Linked DNA regions of Lytechinus pictus. The protein of the gene in region 2 binds, or shares a complex with, the protein of the main gene of each other region. Links are inferred from orthologs where the notes say so. Each region holds a gene or a part of one and is shown on either strand. Other genes may lie near its edges.

Evidence for each region.
Region 1: protein OS-9-like (region 2) and ubiquitin-conjugating enzyme E2 J1-like share a complex: the UniProt entries of both Homo sapiens proteins name them as parts of the HRD1 complex. The link is inferred for Lytechinus pictus from reciprocal best matches to the Homo sapiens genes OS9 and UBE2J1.

The regions. Positions count from the first base shown.
Region 1 is NC_087248.1:15,066,345-15,070,273, reverse strand, and holds the start of ubiquitin-conjugating enzyme E2 J1-like, read left to right. Parts: upstream 1-1,644; 5' UTR 1,645-1,805; coding exon 1,806-1,836; intron 1,837-3,929. Other genes in the region: 5-methylcytosine rRNA methyltransferase NSUN4-like, read right to left, coding at 1-656, 1,335-1,436. UniProt on the Homo sapiens protein: Catalyzes the covalent attachment of ubiquitin to other proteins. Functions in the selective degradation of misfolded membrane proteins from the endoplasmic reticulum (ERAD) and is essential for cells to recover from ER stress.
Region 2 is NC_087247.1:60,361,681-60,365,609, reverse strand, and holds the start of protein OS-9-like, read right to left. Parts: upstream 2,384-3,929; 5' UTR 2,289-2,383; coding exon 2,133-2,288; intron 1-2,132. UniProt on the Homo sapiens protein: Lectin component of the HRD1 complex, which functions in endoplasmic reticulum (ER) quality control and ER-associated degradation (ERAD).

The DNA.
Region 1 (3,929 bases), on a different chromosome or scaffold from region 2:
AAGTGGGGACTTACCTCGAGCTCAGCTTCCACAACTTTGACGTAGTTAGCACCGGAATGCTCCGACATCAACTCGCTGTCCCCGCTCCCTTCCAACTCCATCTGCTGCAGGAGGTCCATCCTGTGCTCGTAACCAGGAGCAACAATATATTGTCCATCCCACCAAGGTTTTGTCAGATGCCCTGCTTTTTTGTTCTCAAGTTCATCATGTTCAAACACTCCCTCCTCTGAACCATCTTCTTCTCTCGCCCTGATGATCATCTCTCTTTCCTGAAGCTTCTGTGCTACTGCGACACTATCTAATCTTGTACTTCCTGAAGCACTTTGGGATTCTTCATCAACTCTGGTTCCATTTCCTGAGGTACTCTGATTACTCTCATTGACCCCTCCTTTTAATCTCTGAGAGTGAGACCGAGTTTCACTTTCTATCCTGAGGTGTCCTGCATGAGGTTGTACAAAGTCTTCTACACCTATCGAATGAAGTCTATCCAATGTCTCTTGCACATCACTGTAATTGTTGAGGAGAGCCCCTGAATTGGGCATGGACAGCAAGGCTAGGCGAATAGATGGCCATTCGTCTCCAAACAGCGGCCGGTAGTTTTGGTCGAAATGCTTAAGGGCAACTTCTGTTGGATCATTTTTATGTTTTCCATATGACTGCACAAAAGAACAAAATAAGGTGATATACATTTACAGAGGGTATAATGTGCATTAATATCAAATATACTCATATCCATATTAGCAAGTTACTCAATACAAAAATAGAACAATTTACAAAGTACATGTAGAAGAAAAACATGTGAAACCAATTAACGATTATTGCCAGACATTTTTTTCAGCAAGTATCTAGGCTAAATTGTTGCAAGTATGAGAGAACTGGCCCTGCATGGAGCATATGTTGTGAAATTGAAAATATTAAAACTGTCTATTTCATCACATTTTTGTTAGACAAGTATTTTTCATAGTCTGCATTTAAACAAAAAAGAGAGAAATTCTGCAAATCTGCAACGTTTTTTCAATCTTGTTTTAAATTTAATTATTTGGGTAATATTATTGTGATTATCATAATTTGAATTCAACATTTCCAACAGCAAATAGATCTAACTTCTAAGTTAGATCTATATCAAACAAAATTAAGCAAGGATCTTACGACGTTACAGCTACATGACATAGATTTAACTCAACTTCTCAAGCGATGTTCGTGCAGGCTCCACTCCACTTCACTACCGCTACACTACGCTCCACCTACCCGTAGTGTAGCGGTAGTGAAGTGGAGTGGAGCCTACATGTAACTGCACGAACATCGCTTGCTGAGCTGAGATCTAGTCCACGTACCAGTTTGGCTTTTGTCTTTTTCCCTCTGTAGGTTATTTCTAATTCTTTGAACCGTCGCACTTGCAGGAATCTGGAAATTCGCCTGGGCACTTGTGACATCATAATGTAGAAACTATCTGCAGCAAACGTCGTAAAAACTCTAATATTACAAGTTCACATGAAACACTCTCTGCACGTGTTAGTAGAGGGATGGTTTGTTTACGTCGGCCCTTTAAACCAAATACTGAGCGATTTTCCAAGACATACATTGGTTGGCCAATGATGAATACTTCACAAAGTTCTGACCAATCAGAGAATGCGACACATTAGCACAACTTAATGTGGGAGTGCGAGGATTCAGCTGACCGTATCATATGAGAAAACGCCACGTCGCTTTGTGAATAGTCCGTTCTTTTGCCTTTGGAGCAAGATTATTGCAATTATTCGCTATTATACTCTGAGTCTGAGTCACCTTTTGTGAGATATCCCACCATGCAGTCTACATACTCGAGGAGGAGTCCAGGTGAGTGGTAATTAAAAATTATCAGACGTATTCATGTGCTCAGTCCCACCTAATTTCGTTCTGTGTCAGTGACAGTGAAAGTGTGACACTACTGTCAGTGTCATAATCATTTAGCAGTGATATCCAGTCTTGAGCACTCTGGGGCTACACCGCTATTCCAACGCGTGTTGGAAAAGTCGACGCCAGACGGGTATGTTTTGGCCTTGAATTTCCAGCAAATTAATCAAAATTACGGCCTAAATTTAGGTCTATGTTATCAATTATATACTAATTTCATAATTATAATGTAAAACGGGTACTCACGGGTTCTTTTCTTTCCAAATTTTGTGTTTTCATCGCCTCTTCTGGCCAACTCTTGCGATGGATTTTGTCGCCATAGGATCCTGTACGTGCAAATCCAGGGCGAGTTGTCACATGACGCTCGCGAGTCTCTAGGGGTAATTAGACAGCTGGCAGCCGTCTGTTTTGAGGAGTTTTTTAACATTTTGTTTTTTTTTATTTCTCCTCATACACAGACGGCTCGCTATCGTGCAGCCACCATTAGGGGACTTGCAATGCAAAATCCCCCCGTCGGGGCTCTTCAATTTTTGTCTTTAATGAAATTTTTTTTTGAAAATTAATGCGACCAAAATACAAATTAACATTCCCTCTTGGCATTTATTGCCAAGAAACGGAGAAAAATCAAGTTAAAAGGAACAAAAACAGTGACTTACCTCGGCTGTCGCGCAAATTCACTTCCCTGTTTTATCCGATCTTAAGTACATAAACATATGGCCATTGAGTCCCCTGTACAGATCGCGCTAGAACTTCGGTCTCTGTATTTGGTGAGTGAAGCCAACGGAGTTCAGCTGAACAACCAACATAACAGAGACAGAAGCTTTTGGTCTAGGGGTAATGGCCTTTAATCAAGGCGTTCTTTTTGCTATAATTTTATAATGACGCTTAAATATCGAAATCAATGTAGACGAGTCTGTGCAGGGGCATAACAGGGGTATATAAGAGGGGGCATAGTACATGTCGCATGTGGAAGATAAAAGTTACGTAATGTAAGTCCCGAGCACTAGCGTACCTAGGGGGGGGGCAGTCTGCCCCCCCCCCCCCCCCCCCCGATGAGTCACAAACCCATGCAAATTACATATCTCTGCCCCCCGGCCCCCCTGACGAGCTTGAAAACCTATTTTGCCCCCCCCCGACGAGCTTGAATACCTATTTTGCCCCCCCTGGCGAGCTTGAAGACTTTTTTTTTGCTTGTCAAATTTTTTCTGGTACGATTGAAGACCTTTTTCATTGAAGAGCCTTTTTTTCCTTTTTTTTTGCTTGTCAAATTTTTTGGCGGCCGATTTTGCCCCCCTGTGGAAAATCCTAGGTACGCCATGCACTGCCCGCGCTACATGTATGTTGGTAGCCCTGGGACCTCTGGATATTAACTAATCCAATTTAATTACAGATGGCAGATTTTTTTATTATCTGAGTAGCCCCCCCCCCCGGATTATTTGTTCTCACATTACTTTCCTTTTTAAATTTCCTTTCGTTCTTTCTTTCATTTTTCTTTCTTTCTTCCTTCCGTTGCTCCTATGTTTTTTTTTCAGGTGAAATCCACTCGGGGGATGGCCAGCCATGCCCCCATCTGTTTATGCCTCTGAGATGTAGGCTATACTCATGATCTTAATCTTCGATTTTCCAAAGTAGGGGGGTGCAATTTCTCAAGTAAAATTTGACAACCCCCCCAAAAAGGTTATCCCAGAAAAATTGTCATTTTGTCTCGCGTAAGATTTGACAAGTAAAAAGAAAAGATGGTTACTAAAAATAAAAGACTCATTTTGTCCGTGTAATATTTGGCAAGCCTCCCCCCCCCCCAAGTTTAACATATCGGAGGCGCGATGGCTCAGTCGGTAGAGCAGGGGTTTCGGATTCCGGTGACCCGGGTTCGATTCCCAAGTGGTGCGCTAGTGCCCTTAAGGCTTATCCTCATTACCAGGTCCCTCGGAGAGGACCTTAAGCCGTTGGTCCCCTGGTTGCTTGCTCACAGGCATTCGTGCTTTTTTAGCAGTCAGGTAAAAAATCTCGATATAACATAACATTGAAAAAAAGTG
Region 2 (3,929 bases):
ATACAAGTTCTGGTGCATGAGACAAATCTAAAGCCCAAAATAAGCTAGTGTATATATATATATATACATATACATAATATTAAGGACATACAAAATAATAGGCCTATGACATGCAGAATAAAGATGAATAAATCTCTCAATTTAAAACATTTTATGATCCCGTATAGGCCCTATCCCTCCAATCTCTCTGTAATTTTATTTTGTCTGAAACTTAGCAGATGGATATTTAATTCATATAGATATATATTCCATTCTTTTGATAAAAAATCTTATTTCAACATTTACATCTTCAATTAATTTCATCGCATTCAGTCACTTCTCTTACAAATCACCTTCCTCATTAATTTCTTTTTTCTTTTTTTAGCTTAATTTTCTCTCAATATACTTTCATCTATTCTCATTTTTTTCTATTTCATTATGATTATTTTGTCTATGCATGCCAACAATAAAACTTCAGAATGTCCGACCACGATCCTGAATAATATGCAATAATATTATGTAGCCTATCTGTGGAGAGAAAAAGAAAACACAGCTCGGTTTATAGGCCTACTCTGAATAAAATCATGATTGAGATAATTAATTATGAAACATGTATTCTTGACTATCGATTGATATTACAAAAAATATATAACTAGACTAAAGTAATCAAATCTACTGCAGAGTTTGTTTTATTGATCATCATTTTATTATTGCTTGGAATTCCGGGACCAGTTTCCTCCACTGCCTCGCCGACGTACCCCTGGGCCGAGAGTGCATGCCCGCTGTCCGTGCATACAAGCACACTTTGCACAGCAGCTGCACAGATCAAAATACGCACAGACAGTGCGCGAAAATGAAAGAAAATTGCACTTGTCTTCATAAAATCTGTGGTAATTCTTGCAGCTTTATACAGCACATCTATCTCTGCCACCCATGATTAAGAAGAAAAGTGATGTTAGACTCTGGAACAAATATGACGAGGCGTTTACTGGAAGTTAGCAAAATGTTGGCTGCCGGCGTCGATCGTATTTTGATACACTATGGAAATCGTACACTTTATTGTCGGCTGCTTGCGCTCGCATGGTCGCATCCGGACAACAGCGGCGCTATTGCTCCCTTTGCGATCCCATGATCCTTTGCGTGAATCTATTTGCGATAAGGTCTATGGGAAAAATTGAGAAAACAACAAAATCACTGGTGAGCTATTTTGACCATATTTTAATATTTTTAGAATATCATAACTTTGAAAATGTGTTTTGACCATTTTTCATCATCTTTCTATTCAAGTTCCCTTTGGAAGGATGTTGCAAAGTTTTGAGCGTATGAAATTATTTTCTGACGCGTACGATGCGCGCGTTCGGTAATACAACTACAAGGCCGTTCGGTAATATACAATCACTCACTATACTAGTAGTACGCCTATACCTACCTCAGGCGATGTTCGTGCAGGCTCCACTCCACTTCACTACCGCTACACTACGCTCCACCTACCCGAACATCGGGACAGTGAACTAGATCGGATATTCCGAGTCATAAAAGGTGGGATGGCAATCATGGTTATCGTAGAAATTAAAGAAAAAAATATAAAGAAGGATATGAATGACTTAATAATAATATCTTACTTTACACCCGTATTTCACTCCGTGTCCATCCTCCGGTTATCCTCAAAATTGGTGATTTTGGGCCAGTATCTTTTTCCTCACACATATTATTCACGGCCGATTTCAAAACATCGCATGCGATCGGTCGCTGATCGATCGCGATCGCATGCGATGTTTTGAAATCGGCCGTGAATAATACGTGTGAGGAAAAAGATACTGGCCCAAAATCACAAATTTTGAGGATAACCGGAGGATGGACACGGAGTGAAATACGGCACTTACGGGTGTAAAGTAAGATATTAAGTCATTCATATCCTTCTTTATATTTTTTTTCTTTAATTTTTACGATAACCATGATTGCCATCCCACCTTTTATGACTCGGAATATCCGATCTAGTTCACTGTCCCGATGTTCGGGTAGGTGGAGCGTAGTGTAGCGGTAGTGAAGTGGAGTGGAGCCTGCACGAACATCGCCTGAGCCTGAGGTAGCCTATACCATACAACACGTAAAAATATACATATGGGACCGTACATGAACAAATCTCTACTTACTCTTCCATATAAAACAGGATTTTCAAGGATATCTATGTCATAATGGATGCTTTTGAGTTCTTCTATATCCAAGAAATATACTGATGTCCCTGCCAACATGGTAATGTTGGTTAAAAACAACGCGAGTGCGATGTTTTCTATTCGCTTCAATCCCATCTTCTCGTCTCACGTAACGAGCTGAAAGTCCTCGGTTTACTTTATCACTGCATGCATGCTTGCACCGTACGCGTACCGCACCAAAGTTCGACTGCTATGATGATTTGCTTGCATGTGATTGGCTCGCGCTCGTTAGCTGTATACAGTGCGTTTCAAAAAAAAGGTAATCCAAATCTAGAGGGCTGATATTAGGATCATATTTAATTTTGTGAAATTATTCTGCATGGATATATATGAGAAACTCATCAGCTTTCAATTGATACCCTATTTGTATCATTTTGTGCCACGCATGACCAAATCAATCGCTTTTAAAGACAACAGGTGCAGAGACCATTTTTTCCAAGTTTTGGTAAAGTGGGTAAAATGTGAACTTGATAGAATAATATGTTTTCCAAAGTAATTTTTTGGAATGAAGTGTTACTTGAGGCATTTCTCTGAAATGATGAGTGAAAAGTGTATGTCTTATCATGGACCTGGTCTTATTTACCCACACCTTCAACATGTCATCCTCTCCTTTGAAAACAAAACCAGAAGCGTTGAAGGATATATTGGACAGCTCGTCTCACCAATGGCAATGCCGGATCATTGTCCAAAGCATCCACCTCATATCGAATTTTTATTTTATTTGTCTTCCAACTTTGAGTTCGAATACATGACAAACATACAAGTGTGTATGAAACAATAAGTACATGATAAAACATACAGGTATACATAAAACAGAGTATGCAGAAAACATTGTTTTTAAATACATTATACAGCTTAAGACAGAAAAGAAATAATTTTAAAGGAAGACGAGGAGACCCTGCAAGTCATCAAAATCGTGGGGAAGAGTTGCAAAAACCTTATTTTTAAGTGTCCCTAAGGGAAATAATCAAAGGGCGTGCGGTCAGGCGATCTTGGTGGCTTTTTAATGCCATGGTTGAGGGCAACAACGTAATGTCCAAAGAGTCTATATCACGAATGATGTTGGAACGATGGGCAGGAGCTCCGTCCTGAATCCACCAAAGATACCTGTACACTCCTCACAACTGTCCCTCAACAATATGTTGGTCCAAATGTGGTACGATCTCCTCGTTAATGGTGTGCAAGTACATTCACTTATTAACAATCCTTTGTAAGAAAAAGGGTCCAATCAAAAGATTTTTGCCAGCTCAGACATCGATGAAAGTATTTACATCAGCATCTGTCTTTTCATCAAGTTTTCAAAAACTTGGAAAAAGGGGTCTCTGCACCTTTTGTCTTCAACATCAATTGATTCGGTCATGCGTAGCGCAAATGGCATAAAATAAAATAAAAAGAATATAGGTAACTTTTGCTTAAATTTCCATTATTGAGGTAAAAATTACGCATTTTCATTATCCAAATATGCAGGCATCCGCAGGTCCTTAGGCATGGCCGTGTGACTGTAGTATTAGCGAGGATTCAAAAGATAGACCAATAGGACGCACAAAAGACAGATAGTCAGGTCCAGATTTTAAAAAATGTGCTCAGAAAAAGTGCTTAATAGGCATTTTGTGTTAATGCTTATTTATCGATTGTTTTAAGGTAATTCAGGGGTGCTGAATCCAAAAATGCTGTTTGCCAAACTTGATTTCGACGTTTTCATCCTCAAATCGGCAAAAAAAAACAAAATGGCGGCAT